Saccharomyces cerevisiae S288C: one gene and its partner. The gene in region 2 interacts genetically with the main gene of each other region. Each region holds a gene or a part of one and is shown on either strand. Other genes may lie near its edges.

Region 1 (5,833 bases), 850 kb from region 2:
TTAGTGATGGTTACTTTAATCATGATGACGGAGGTATCCATAGATGATGATGATGCAGCAGAATGGATAGAATCTGACGATACCGATGATGAAGAGGAAGTTACATATGACCACGCTCGTCAAGCTCTTGATCGTGTTGCTTTAAAGCTGGGTGGTGAATATTTGGCTGCACCATTGTTCCAATATTTACAGCAAATGATCACATCAACCGAATGGAGAGAAAGATTCGCGGCCATGATGGCACTTTCCTCTGCAGCTGAGGGTTGTGCTGATGTTCTGATCGGCGAGATCCCAAAAATCCTGGATATGGTAATTCCCCTCATCAACGATCCTCATCCAAGAGTACAGTATGGATGTTGTAATGTTTTGGGTCAAATATCTACTGATTTTTCACCATTCATTCAAAGAACTGCACACGATAGAATTTTGCCGGCTTTAATATCTAAACTAACGTCAGAATGCACCTCAAGAGTTCAAACGCACGCCGCAGCGGCTCTGGTTAACTTTTCTGAATTCGCTTCGAAGGATATTCTTGAGCCTTACTTGGATAGTCTATTGACAAATTTATTAGTTTTATTACAAAGCAACAAACTTTACGTACAGGAACAGGCCCTAACAACCATTGCATTTATTGCTGAAGCTGCAAAGAATAAATTTATCAAGTATTACGATACTCTAATGCCATTATTATTAAATGTTTTGAAGGTTAACAATAAAGATAATAGTGTTTTGAAAGGTAAATGTATGGAATGTGCAACTCTGATTGGTTTTGCCGTTGGTAAGGAAAAATTTCATGAGCACTCTCAAGAGCTGATTTCTATATTGGTCGCTTTACAAAACTCAGATATCGATGAAGATGATGCGCTCAGATCATACTTAGAACAAAGTTGGAGCAGGATTTGCCGAATTCTGGGTGATGATTTTGTTCCGTTGTTACCGATTGTTATACCACCCCTGCTAATTACTGCCAAAGCAACGCAAGACGTCGGTTTAATTGAAGAAGAAGAAGCAGCAAATTTCCAACAATATCCAGATTGGGATGTTGTTCAAGTTCAGGGAAAACACATTGCTATTCACACATCCGTCCTTGACGATAAAGTATCAGCAATGGAGCTATTACAAAGCTATGCGACACTTTTAAGAGGCCAATTTGCTGTATATGTTAAAGAAGTAATGGAAGAAATAGCTCTACCATCGCTTGACTTTTACCTACATGACGGTGTTCGTGCTGCAGGAGCAACTTTAATTCCTATTCTATTATCTTGTTTACTTGCAGCCACCGGTACTCAAAACGAGGAATTGGTATTGTTGTGGCATAAAGCTTCGTCTAAACTAATCGGAGGCTTAATGTCAGAACCAATGCCAGAAATCACGCAAGTTTATCACAACTCGTTAGTGAATGGTATTAAAGTCATGGGTGACAATTGCTTAAGCGAAGACCAATTAGCGGCATTTACTAAGGGTGTCTCCGCCAACTTAACTGACACTTACGAAAGGATGCAGGATCGCCATGGTGATGGTGATGAATATAATGAAAATATTGATGAAGAGGAAGACTTTACTGACGAAGATCTTCTCGATGAAATCAACAAGTCTATCGCGGCCGTTTTGAAAACCACAAATGGTCATTATCTAAAGAATTTGGAGAATATATGGCCTATGATAAACACATTCCTTTTAGATAATGAACCAATTTTAGTCATTTTTGCATTAGTAGTGATTGGTGACTTGATTCAATATGGTGGCGAACAAACTGCTAGCATGAAGAACGCATTTATTCCAAAGGTTACCGAGTGCTTGATTTCTCCTGACGCTCGTATTCGCCAAGCTGCTTCTTATATAATCGGTGTTTGTGCCCAATACGCTCCATCTACATATGCTGACGTTTGCATACCGACTTTAGATACACTTGTTCAGATTGTCGATTTTCCAGGCTCCAAACTGGAAGAAAATCGTTCTTCAACAGAGAATGCCAGTGCAGCCATCGCCAAAATTCTTTATGCATACAATTCCAACATTCCTAACGTAGACACGTACACGGCTAATTGGTTCAAAACGTTACCAACAATAACTGACAAAGAAGCTGCCTCATTCAACTATCAATTTTTGAGTCAATTGATTGAAAATAATTCGCCAATTGTGTGTGCTCAATCTAATATCTCCGCTGTAGTTGATTCAGTCATACAAGCCTTGAATGAGAGAAGTTTGACCGAAAGGGAAGGCCAAACGGTGATAAGTTCAGTTAAAAAGTTGTTGGGATTTTTGCCTTCTAGTGATGCTATGGCAATTTTCAATAGATATCCAGCTGATATTATGGAGAAAGTACATAAATGGTTTGCATAAAGACGTTTAATAGAAAGAAGAACAATGTTAAGTAGTTCTATAAGGAATATTAAATGAATATTGTCTTTTTTGATGATTTAAAAACATATAATGTAACAATAGTGTTCTTTTTAATTTACCGGTGGTAATAGCGAATAGAATCTTATAAAACTTACATAGAAAAAAAATATATACTATACTTACAACTTTTCATTTTTTTCGTAAAAACTACCCCACAATGAAATAAGATACCATACCTTATCGAGTTATTATGTATGTGTCGAAGCTTTTTAAACCAAAGCAAAACCGACACCAGCGGCAATGGATAAGGAAATGATGGAGGTAAAGACCACTTGTGCTAAGTTAGCTTTAACGTTGGTGGCAGCATTCTTCTTGCTAGAAGATGAAGATGAAGCTGAAGAAGAAGAAGAAGAACTGGAAGAACCAGAAGAGCCGGAGTTAGACTTGGAAGAAGACCCCGAAGCGTTAGAAGAGGCAGTACTGGATTCAGTTCCGGAACCCAAATCAACACTACCTGATGCAGAGTTGGTACCCATACTACCAATCTCTTTCAAAGCGGAGGAGCAACTAGCTTGCGTGGTGGCAGTTTGTAGAGTGGCAGAACCGCTGAAGCTACAGTCAGATTTGCTACCACCACTCTTCTCGTAGTACAAATTCATAACGAAAGATAGCTGTTCCTTTGGTGTACAGAAAGAGTAAGCACCATACTTACCGGCGGTACCGTTTGCTGAAATACCGCTACAGTCGACTTCATTACAGATCCAGTTAAATAAGGTTTCGTAATCATCAGAATCAACGTCATCGGAAACAACACAACTATTGGCTGCATTCATACATGAACACAAGCCTCCGTTTGGAGTTGGTGGTAATTCTGTTGCAGCGGACCAGTACTTACCAGTAGCTGGACAAGCAACATCACTTGTTGTTGCACTGTAAGACTTTGTGTTGGCGGAAGTTGGTGATATTTTGTTGATTTCAGAAGAATAGTTGTTGAAGTCATCCAAAGTTTTAACATCATTACCATCGATGCTAACTAAACCGTATTTGTTAGTCTCTTCGAAGTACATGTATACGATACCACCAGACCAGACATCTGTCATATTAGAACCGTACAAGGCTTCAACCTCAGTAAATAGTCTTGGTGTTACTTCGTTACAACCGTATTCAGAGAAGAAAACAGGAATAGATAAGTTTTTGAATTCTGCAGTTCTATCAGCATAACCAGAAGTTTTGAAGTCAGATTTACCACACCATTCATACATATTAATACCGTAAAAATCAGCCTTAACATCATCATCACCACAAGCGAAATAATCAGTCATCTTAACTCTGGTATCTTCGTCATCATTGGAAGAGTAGCCAACTGGAATTTTTCTGTAGTTCTTGTCGCTGATGTATTGTCTGACGTCTCTAATAGCTGCCTTCACGAAAGCAGATGCATCTGTGTTGGTGTAATTGTTAGTAACTTCATTACCGGCGAAGAAACCCAAAACGTTGGTGTAATTAGCAAAAGTGTCAACAACGGTTTTGTAGCTGTTGAACAAGTCAACAGTCCAAGTTGGATCGTCTCTATTGATAGAGGTGGCTGGAGCTGCTAAATCAGCGATGACATAGATGTCAGCATCATTCAAAGCCTTCATACATTCGGAGTGATCTAGAGTGGTATTGATAGCGTAGACACGGATAACATTTGTGTTCAATTTTTTGAGGTATGGAATATCTCTGGAACAACTCTCATAATTGGCCAAAGGATCGTTGACAGTAGATCCGCTAGTTTCATTAGCGGTATCAGCCTGATAAGCAACACCTCTTATGTAGAACTGACTACCGTTGTTGGAGTAGAAAAACTTATTACCAACAACTTCAATCGCTGGAACATCGTCCGCAGTTGCGACGCCAGCAAAAAAAGCAGCAGCGGTTGCTAACTTTGAAAGGGATTTAAACAACATTGTTGAGATTTAGCTGTGTTTGTTGTTTTTGTTTTATCAGACTTTAAAAATAAAAACTGATTTTGAAATAGCTTAATAAAACGACACAACTATTTATGGATATCTAATTTGTTCGAGGAAAACAACCACGACTTTTCCTCTTAAATAAAAAAATCCGTGTCAACAGTAGTAGAGGGAAAAGTTTTTCAAACCTCGAGGATTATCGGGTATTTTACTAATAAACCGCGCAGGCTGTATGAGGAATACCAAAAGTAGAAATTTCTCATTATTTTCCCGACTTTTCTTTTTCCCATCTCCACGTTTGCGGCACGAAAACTCAGTGTAAAATAAGAAGCAAACAAAACGCGAGCCGCGAAAATATATCGAACTAAAAGTACGCAAAAGAATAGCCAGGGCTGGCCTGTGAATTCATAAAAAGTCTGAGCCGGCTATGATAGGCACCAGCTCGCTTTATCAGCTACTCAAAATAACTTTTTTTTTTTATCCCTATGCGACAGTCCTAAAGGTAGGTAAAGTTGGTGTTGTAGTCAGGATTGTCGATGGAGCATTTGGACCAGTATCGTTGTTGTTTTGGTTGTTAGGTTGGAAGATTCCTTCGAAAAGGGTGCCTTCCAGCAATTCTTGCGGACTAGATACGAAATCACCAGCAAAGAATGGCGCGATGAGCATAAAAAGGAGCACACCTAGCATCACAAAATATAGAGAGAAATATTTTGAAACTATCCTACTTCTTAATGCTCTCTGCTTTCGAGTCAAAATTCTTTTATGCGCGATAATACTTCTTGGATTCATCCAAAATAGCACCATTGTATGCCAGTAATCGATAAATGGTAACAATATTATGGGCGTTTGTATAAATAAGAGGAAGTGACCAAGAAAGAAATCTGCTGCAAAATAACTAGATTCCATAATCTTCACGAAGTATTCTCGTATGGGCTGTAAAATGATAGACCAGCCCATGCCCGTATTGTACCATTTACCATTCCACCATGCCAAATGTGCCTTATTGTTTTTATACTCCCTTGTCAAGAATATCGTCGTAAAGACCTTGAAAAGAATCAGATGCATATTGATGCACGTAATAAGCAGTATCAATGTACGGGTAAAGTTCCAACCTTGTAAGAACCACATCAGTTCGAAATCTAAAAGATAGACCAAAACCGAGAAAGTGTGTGCAATAAACGCAATCACGGCACCTGCGTCTTTACAACAATATGACAATCCAGGAACCACAAAAAGTGAAACCCAAAATAATAGAAAAAGCACTATTGAGTTAAGAAAGATTGGCAAAAAAGTTACGAGCAACAAACGGAAAACAGCGCTAGTTGGTGTTGAGTCAGAGACCCCTGTTTGTGCATTAATGAAAGAAAAAGCGGTGAAGTTGAAGAGGAACACACAGAAAGGTAGAAATAGTTCTGCAAAGAAGACGTTCCAAAACCTCGCTTTCTTTGAATCATGGCCTGAATCTTCGGAAATATCATCTACAGTTTTACTTTTATAGCCCGTAAATCTTGATCGAGAACTCTTGACAAAGTTTGCCC
Region 2 (10,071 bases):
TCACGTGTATGATTACTTAACCGGGTAGCGCCGGTCTTTAATATGCTTTCCAGATTAGGAAAGAACATAAATAAAAACACAAAATAAGAAAGTGTCAATCATCCGCATTGAAAGAAAGAAAAGATTTTTTTATCCCTCAATTGTACATGAAAACAGAGACCTTTCAAAACGTATTTTAACATTCTTTTACTCTTTTCTTGCACCTGCAGCCTTAGGTCAGTAAGAAAAAAAGTAGGTAGCAATGAGCCCAAGTCCATCAGTGTCGCCAAGAAGGACGCTCAATAACAAATCATCTTACATCAATAACAGCGGTGGGCTGGTCCTGCCTCCTACGCAGTTTAATTTGAATCAGCAGCCAGTCCTGAGCTTCCAACAAAAAGCGACTTTCGATTCCAACCAGCAGTTTTTCTATTATCCAGAGTCACCCACAAAAAACCTGAGACCAAGGTTTAACAGTATTTCGCAGGTTAATAAAGGAGTTAATGAAGACCATTATACCGGGGGCGGTAGCAGTAATAATAACAGGCCATCTAGATATACAAATACCATGGGCGCTGCAAACACCAATGTAAATTCCCATCCGCATCATCAGTCGGTGTCGCATTTAAATTCTAAATCTCTTAAATTCAATCAAACGAAGGAAGTGAGCAGCATAAATGAAATTATTTTTCCTTCCAGAACGTGTACAAAGAAACGGTATTTTACCAAGCCAATTGATTTGTATGGTACAAGAAGTAGCACTAGTGTGGCACCTAAGTTGACGAATTCTCCCACGAAATCAAAAACAAATTTCAACATCAAGAAGTGCATCTTACCTAGGTCCGTCGTTACCACATATAAATTACCATCTCCAGTGCACGAAACGATAGACGATATATCCAAAAAAATCATAATCCTGCTAATTTCGTTGAAGTTTGAGAAAAACTATCACTTCTTGCAACCTATTCAATTGTCCACAAATAGTAAGACACGGATCTCAAAATCACTAGACGAATTATGCGGAGTGCAGCTGACATCAACGTTACGGCAACAAAAGCAGCTGCAAGGTAACAGCAAGCCCGTAAAGAATCTCCCTAATTCCAATGCGAAGCAGAGAGCCGGGGCCAGTGTTTCCACAAATGCCAACGAAAGCTTTGAATTGAGTTTTGATGGAAAGGCAATGGATAGATCTGATATATTTCGAATGGTAGATTCTTTTAGCATCGCCATTTCAGATGAAGATGAGGAAGATGAGGAGGAGGATAGCTTTCAGCAGAGAAGTGCGAACAACAGAATCCTCCCTGCGGAGATACTAAGTAATGAACCTTTGAAATGATACGGATTCTCTGTATTCTGTCTATAGTATTTATATACCAATACATTTTTCCGCACTTTGAAGTTTTGCATTTTACTTAATGTAGTTTATTATTAGTTGCCAAAACGAAACATTTAACATGTGAATTAAAAATACAAAAAAAAGCCTATTAACGATCTAAATTTATGACAAAAGACATATAATTATTTTAATGATGCCTTTGTCACAACCGAACACAATATCTTTGAAAAGTGATCCAGCAATCGAATTCAGAATTCGTTGTGCCATTTTTGCCTTACGTTTGCGCCATTGTAATTTCTCTGTGCCGTCTTCTCTTCACTTTATTTCAATATTATCATGCAGTAAACAAGTTGCAGAATAATAAATAATATACGTACCAAATATGTGAACAACTCAGATACTATTCATTTGATATGTTAAAAGTCCTGCATTCCTCTCCCGACATTATATATAAAATGCTCAGCCACCCCTTCGTTGCACAGAAAAAAAGGATGACCTATAATACCAATATTCAATCACAATAGTTATACCAAACTAACACATGGTTGAAGCAGACTACTTACTATCGTGGAGTTAGCTCACTGAAAATTTAATATTTACAGCATTAAACAGTTTTTTCTTTTGTTTTGTCTCCTACATTAATTTCAATATGGATAGCCAAGTAGAAGGCAAAATATCCCCCTCACAGAAGGAGTCCTCCTCCACCTCAGGCCTCGTTTCACCTAGTGAAGATGGCCCAGCACATCAAAAAATACACAGAGACCAATTAAGTGTGGATCAAATCAAGAAAATCAGAGAAGAACGTGCTCAGAAGAGACAGGTACGTAGGAACTCTCTAATATCCCAAGGGAAGGACCCTGACTTCCCAACGCCTGACTTACAATTCATTGAAAGACCATTCCTCCCTATCAACCATGATAATTCGAAAGGTCTTACGCCAGCGACCATACAAGTCACCCAAGATTCATTGGACGTTAAAATAATGACCTATAATACTCTAGCACAAACCTTGATTAGGAGAGATTTTTTCCCAGAAAGTGGACCAGCGTTAAAGTGGCATAAGAGATCAAAAGTTTTGGTCCACGAATTGAAAAAGTACAGGCCTGATGTAGTATCGTTGCAGGAGGTCGATTACAATGAACTCAACTTCTGGCAGGAGAATTTCCATAAGTTAGGGTTTGATGTGATTTTCAAAAGGCATGAAGGGAAAACTCATGGACTACTAGTTGCATGGAACAATAAAAAATTCCAGTTAGATAATGATTGGATGCTGGACTACGATAATATATTGGCGGGAAATGTCATTTCAGCAAGAACAAGAACTAAAAATATTGCCCTTATTATATCGCTATATTTCAAGGGTATAACAGATTCATCATCAAGAGGAATTATCGTCGCAAATACACACCTATTTTGGCATCCCTTTGGGGTATTTGAAAGATTAAGGCAATCTTACTTGGTTTTACAAAAGATCCAGGAAATTAAAGCATGTTCCAAATATAATGGCTGGCATAGCCTACTGATGGGTGATTTCAATACCGAACCTGAAGAGCCACCGTACTTGGCCATAACGAAAAGACCACTGATATTAAAAGGCCCAATAAGAGCTATGGTGGAATGCTCACTAGCGTATCGGTATTCAAAAAAAAGGAATGGAGAAGAAAGTGACCAGGATGATGAAGAGTGTGATGAAAAGTCTAGGGGCGAAGGCCATTCAGATCAACCACAAAACCCAAAACCAGAGAGCTTTACAGCCACAAAGGAAGAAAAGGCTCTGGTAAATCAATTAGTTGCGTTGCATAATTCACTACATGTGAAAGGCGTATCTTTGTATGGGATTGGCTACGGTAAAGTGCATCCTGAAAATGCTAACGGAAGCCACGGCGAACCGGGACTCTCAAACTGGGCCAATACATGGTGTGGATTATTAGACTACATATTTTATATCGAGGGTGATCATAATCAGGACACGCGTCAGAAAGAGCCTCTGAATGCTTTTGAAGGAAATAACAACGTAAAAATAATCGGATATCTGAGGATGCCGTGCGCACAAGAAATGCCCAAACACTCCCAACCTTTCGAGGGAGAATATGCTAGTGATCACATTTCCCTAATGTGCCAAATACGCTTGTTTTTTGGGGGGGAGAAAGTGCATAGCTTAAAATAAAGAAACAATATATATAAACAACCTACATTTGTGTTTGAAAGACAGTAATCAACGCTTCGATGGTCACTGGGATTTTTCTTTCAATTTAGCGTCACTTTCACCTTATTCACAGCTTTTACGTGCTATTTTTGGTCACCCTTCCCCTTTCGTTGCGCCTCAACGGGCTAAAAAAAAAAAAATAAAATCAAGCATAGAAACACCACAACAAACCTGCCCTTTTTCCTTGTTTCAGGTTACGTGAAAAGCATCCAGAGAAGATATCCCAAAGACTGAAGAGGTGTAGTTGGCTCATTCACGTCGTTCGTTTATATTATCAAGGAAGGGGTTTTTGATCGGCTCGAACAAGACTCGCAAGAATCCGTTTTCTATTGTTTTTTTTGAGGATTCCAATATGTCAAATTCCAATTCAAAAAAACCTGTTGCGAATTACGCATACCGTCAACAGCAAGATTATAATGGGATGAACGCCATGGTGGGAAATCCAATGATGTATCATCCTGTTGATTTCGTAAACGGTGCCGGCCAATATGGTCCTTCTCAACACCCAGCATATTACACCAACTCACCATTACCTAATATTCCACCAACACCTTTTGATACTGCATACGGTGCCAGTCTTTTTCCATCTCACCTATTGATGGGATCTCCATTTGTTTCCTCGCCTAACATGCAAAGTGGCTATAATTCTGCAAGATCATCTAATCTCAAAAGAAAGGCTTATTCGAGGCCCGTTTCTAATCATAACGGTTACAACGGAAACAGTAACAGTAACCAAAACAATACTAATAACGGAATGGTAACACCCTCGAACTATTATAGAATGGGGAGAAATTCTTTCTCGAGGAACAACAACAGTACGAGGAATGTTACTCACAACAACAATAAGGGGTGCGACACCCGGAACAACAGTGGAAGAAGAACATTCGCAAGGAATAACATTTTCGACGACATACTTCCAGAAATGCTTTTACAAAGACCCTTTTGTATTAATTACAAGGTTCTACCGACTGGTGATGATGCTTATAGAACTAGGTCGCTGCTTATTGAAAATGTGGATCATTCTATTGATTTACACTCTATAGTCAAAAATTTTGTCAAATCCAATACTCTGGAAAGTGCCTACTTAATTGAAGGAGGGAAGAGCGATGATTCAAAAGATGTAGAGACTAAAAATCTATCCATTCTAATAAGCTTTCTAACCAAAGGCGACTGTTTGAACTTTTACAATAACATTTTACAAAGGTTATCTGAATTCAAAACATTTTTGAAATCTGAAGCACTAAATCTGAAATTTGTTTGTCTAAACTATGATCCCAAATGCCTCCCTACCTTTATTGAGAGTGAAGCGTTAACAGAAAACGCTGAAGAAGCCGACATTACCAATGGTTCAACAATGATCAGTGCTTCGCTGCATCATAATATAGCGAACAAAGATGCTACAAGGTCGATTATAATTGAATTCAAAAGCCCCGTGGAGAAAAGCGATTTATTCAAAAAGAAATTACAATTTTTGGACAGGTCAAAAAACAAAAGATACATTTTGGAATCTATCGATTTAGTGAACACAGATGTACCTTCCAATCAATTTCCTGAAAATTACGCCGTTTTAACCTTTTTGAATATCTCTATGGCTATTGAAGTTCTCGATTATTTGAAAAAATACTCCAAAAACTTAGGCATTTCTAAATGTTTTTACGTATCCCTAGCCCCGTTGGTAGTTAGCTCAGCCAGATCTTCGGTTGCTAATATTTACGAGGGTAAAACGAGCACACATCGTTTATCGGTGCCTTCTGTTACTGCTGGGAACAATAACGATAGCAACAACAACGGAAACAATAATAAAAGTAATATGAGTGGTATCACCACACTCAATAATAATAGTAGTATTGGTGTTTCCGTATACGGTCACTCTAATATGAGTTTAACCAGTCTGTCATCATCTGTATCTTTAAATGAAGAGATTGATATGCTTGCGACGAAACTTCAAGGGGTAGAACTTGATGGGACTTATTTAGAAATCAACTATCGCGACTATCAAACACCAACTATTGAAGAACACTCTACTCACTTGAGCAATGTCAAAATTTCAAAGACAACAGAAAACTCTAGGCAATTTTCTCAAGATATCCCATCACCTTTGCCATTAAATGAACATATGTTTATGAATGATTCTAATCAGTCCAATGGAGCGATAATACCTCAACAGTTAATAGCCACACCTTCTCCGGTATCCCCCAATTTGCAAATGAATCAAAGGGTGTTGCCGAATCCAATAACTCAAAGTTTGGAGCAAAATTTCAACGTTTCGGCCAAAGTGGCATCATCCATGGGTTCAGACATAGGCAATAGAACAATTTATATAGGAAACATTAATCCAAGATCAAAGGCGGAGGATATCTGTAATGTCGTGCGTGGAGGAATCCTTCAGAGCATTAAGTACATACCGGAGAAGAAGATATGCTTTGTTACTTTCATCGAAGCTCCATCCGCTGTACAGTTCTATGCAAATTCATTTATTGATCCAATAGTGTTACATGGGAATATGTTGAGAGTTGGATGGGGGCATTATTCTGGTCCATTACCGAAATTAATCTCGTTGGCTGTTACGATCGGGGCAAGTAGGAATGTCTACGTAAGCCTACCAGAGTTTGCATTTAAGGAAAAGTTTATTCACGACCCTCAGTACAAAAAATTGCATGAAACACTATCTTTACCAGATGCGGAACAACTAAGAGAGGACTTTAGTACCTATGGTGATATTGAGCAGATTAACTATTTGAGTGATAGCCATTGCTGTTGGATAAATTTCATGAATATATCTTCTGCGATTAGTCTTGTTGAAGAAATGAATAAGGAATCCACAGTACAAAATGAATCCGGTGAAGTGACGCTTAAAAGGGCGACTGAGGAAAAATTCGGTGGCCGTTATAAGGGCCTTCTGATAAACTACGGCAAAGATCGTTGTGGCAATATAAACAAAAATTTGATAGCAGGTAAAAATTCAAGATTCTATAAGAAAGTTAAAAGACCGAGCTATAATATACGTTTGAGTAAGTTGGAAGAAAAGAGGAGGCAGAATGAAATCGATGAAAAGGAAAAGGCTTTTGATAAACCCTTGAACTTGGAATCCCTAGGAATTAGTCTGGACGCACATAAGGACAACGGCGGTGGTGAAACAGGAACTGCAAATAATACTGGGCATGAAAATGAAAGTGAACTAGAGGCTGAAAATGAAAACGGTAATGAGACTGGAAGTTTCGGTGGACTGGGTCTCGCTGTGGCGAGCTCTGACGTCAAACGTGCGACATCGGATGAAACTGATTATGAAGATATATTTAACAAGTCATCGGGATCTTCCGACTCGTCATCAGACGTCGAGGTCATTATGCACTCCCCGAGCGATCCTGAATACGCTTTAAAATCACAAACTCTAAGAAGCTCGAGTCAGACCGTCATTAATAGTAAGAGACCAGTAAAGATAGAAGACGAGGAAGAAGCCGTAGGAATGTCACAGCTCAATTATAGGTCGTCATTAAGACAAGCTCCTCCAAGAGCTCCCTCAACTTTGTCATATAATCACTCGAAGAACAACGAAACGCCAATGCAAGATATTTTCACAAATGGCGAAACAGCAAATAACAGAAAGAAGAAGAGAGGATCTTTTGCAAGGCATAGAACGATACCAGGATCTGACGTCATGGCCCAATACCTTGCACAAGTGCAACATTCGACATTTATGTATGCAGCCAATATTTTGGGCGCCTCTGCGGAAGACAACACGCATCCTGACGAGTAGTATAGCTGTGCTGAGCCTGAAGTATAATGCATATCCATCGGACTATTTAGACAAAGCCCAAGGAAGCCTAAGGCGGCCTGCCAAGGTGTTTCTCCCTTTTTTTCTCCGATTTCTTTGTATAAACTAAATAATATAGTGATTACTAATGGAATGGCGGTATTATGCACCTAACCTGTTCATTCTGCCACAGATTACGTAAGCGATTTATTGCCGGCACTTGTTGTCTTAATGACCGAGTCACCAATGTGGAACGATAATTTTCTCTGACTCAAACCTGTTAATTTTTTTCTACTTCGTTTCGTTAGCGACGACGTCAAGCCGCAGGATCCTGTCTGCCTTGACCTCTTCTCTACCTTCAGAACTTACACTTTTCAGGTAAGATGACCTTTATATAAAAGTTGACACTATTACAGTTGTTTATAAACGTCTGAAGAATGAGACGTTTTTATAAAATGAATAAAATGCATATTCTAAGTTTAAAACAACATTTTCAAAGTGTACGATTGTAAAAAGAGAGGCAATTAGAGAATCTCAAACAGGTAATAATAATGGGCAATCAGTCATTAGTTGTGCTTACGGAAAGTAAGGGTGAGTATGAGAATGAGACAGAACTACCTGTTAAAAAATCGTCACGAGATAATAATATCGGAGAATCTTTAACAGCAACAGCTTTTACGCAGTCTGAAGATGAAATGGTAGATAGCAATCAGAAATGGCAGAACCCAAACTATTTTAAATATGCATGGCAAGAATATCTTTTTATATTCACATGCATGATAAGTCAGCTTCTAAATCAAGCAGGCACTACACAGACTCTTTCGATCATGAATATTCTTTCGGACAGTTTTGGCTCAGAAGGAAACTCAAAGTCATGGCTGATGGCATCTTTTCCGCTAGTTTCAGGCTCATTTATTTTGATTAGTGGCAGACTAGGTGACATATACGGATTAAAAAAAATGTTGTTAGTAGGATATGTTCTGGTTATTATATGGTCTTTGATTTGTGGGATTACCAAGTATTCTGGTAGCGATACTTTTTTTATTATTAGTAGAGCCTTCCAAGGGCTAGGGATTGCATTTGTTTTACCTAATGTGCTGGGAATAATTGGTAATATATATGTAGGTGGTACTTTTCGTAAAAACATCGTGATTAGTTTTGTTGGTGCGATGGCCCCTATTGGAGCAACTTTAGGTTGTCTTTTTGCAGGACTGATCGGTACCGAGGACCCAAAACAATGGCCATGGGCATTCTACGCGTATAGCATAGCCGCTTTCATTAATTTTGTGCTCTCCATATATGCCATTCCGAGTACTATACCAACAAATATTCATCATTTTTCTATGGATTGGATTGGTTCTGTTTTGGGCGTGATAGGTCTCATTTTATTAAATTTTGTGTGGAACCAAGCTCCTATATCGGGTTGGAACCAGGCTTACATCATCGTAATTTTAATCATTTCTGTGATTTTTCTTGTCGTTTTCATCATTTATGAGATTCGATTTGCCAAGACTCCACTATTGCCGCGCGCAGTTATAAAGGATCGTCATATGATTCAAATTATGCTGGCTTTATTCTTTGGATGGGGCTCTTTTGGCATCTTTACGTTTTATTATTTCCAATTTCAATTAAATATAAGGCAGTACACGGCATTATGGGCTGGTGGAACTTACTTTATGTTTTTAATTTGGGGTATTATTGCCGCCTTACTGGTAGGATTTACTATCAAGAATGTGTCTCCATCAGTGTTTTTGTTCTTTTCTATGGTAGCATTCAATGTGGGCTCAATAATGGCAAGTGTTACACCGGTTCACGAGACATACTTTCGTACTCAGTTAGGAACGATGATAATTTTAAGTTTTGGGATGGATCTTTCATTTCCTGCTTCTTCCATTATCTTTAGTGATAATTTACCGATGGAGTACCAAGGCATGGCTGGGTCATTGGTGAATACTGTTGTCAATTACTCCATGTCCTTGTGTCTCGGTATGGGTGCCACAGTAGAGACACAGGTCAATTCAGACGGAAAGCATCTTTTGAAAGGCTATAGAGGTGCTCAGTACCTTGGGATAGGATTGGCAAGTTTAGCATGCATGATTAGCGGGCTTTACATGGTCGAAAGCTTCATAAAAGGCCGCAGGGCAAGAGCTGCTGCAGAATACGATTGCACTGTGGCTTAGCGGAAAGCGGTTATTAAGGTAAATAGATAGAAATACACCGCTGTCATGCGATTATATAGACATGGGGCATTTAGACACTGAAAGTCTTCATATCTCAACATGCAACTAGTAATAGTACAATTTTTAGTACCCTTTAATCTTTATTGTTCGCTCCCTAATAACGAAGCCTTGAACTGTAACCAGATCCCAGGTTACCCCTTATCCTTAAGAGGTCTTTTATTTACTCTACATAATATATATTTTTCAATCCATTGAAGAGGATTAAAAGAAGAAAAATCAATACCGAACAAAAAAACAAAACGAAATAAAACAAAACAAAAAATTAAATTAAATTAAATTAATATTAAATGTCATCATGATTCTTACTCTGATTGTCTTCTCTTCTCTCTTTCCCTTGACGCAATTTCCTTCAAATCGTCATCGCTCGGTTCATAAATATGCCAAATAGTATAATGCGGTAAACCACCAACCCTGTACCCCATTTTCTTTGCCATTTTACCAAATGCTTCTGTTTCTGCATGATTTTCAAAAGTAAATGCAGGAAACTGTACCCCGTTTCTAAATATTTTGGCCTTCGCCAAAATAGAAACTCCCCCTACACCGTCCAAGTCCACCG

Evidence for each region. Genes that interact genetically often act in the same process or in processes that back each other up.
Region 1: mutations in NAB6 (region 2) and GAS1 are lethal when combined (synthetic lethality), as found in Saccharomyces cerevisiae (4 studies listed by BioGRID, with this or other methods).

The regions. Positions count from the first base shown.
Region 1 is NC_001145.3:885,462-891,294, reverse strand, and holds GAS1 (1,3-beta-glucanosyltransferase GAS1), read right to left. Parts: upstream 4,293-5,833; coding exon 2,613-4,292; downstream 1-2,612. Other genes in the region: importin PSE1, read left to right, coding at 1-2,343; FKS3 (putative 1,3-beta-D-glucan synthase), read right to left, coding at 4,779-5,833.
Region 2 is NC_001145.3:30,370-40,440, forward strand, and holds NAB6 (Nab6p), read left to right. Parts: upstream 1-3,873; coding exon 3,874-7,278; downstream 7,279-10,071. Other genes in the region: YML119W (uncharacterized protein), read left to right, coding at 242-1,315; NGL3 (3'-5' poly(A) RNA exonuclease), read left to right, coding at 1,965-3,482; ATR1 (borate transporter), read left to right, coding at 7,827-9,455; VAN1 (Van1p), read right to left, coding at 9,818-10,071. UniProt on the Saccharomyces cerevisiae protein: RNA-binding protein that associates with mRNAs encoding cell wall proteins.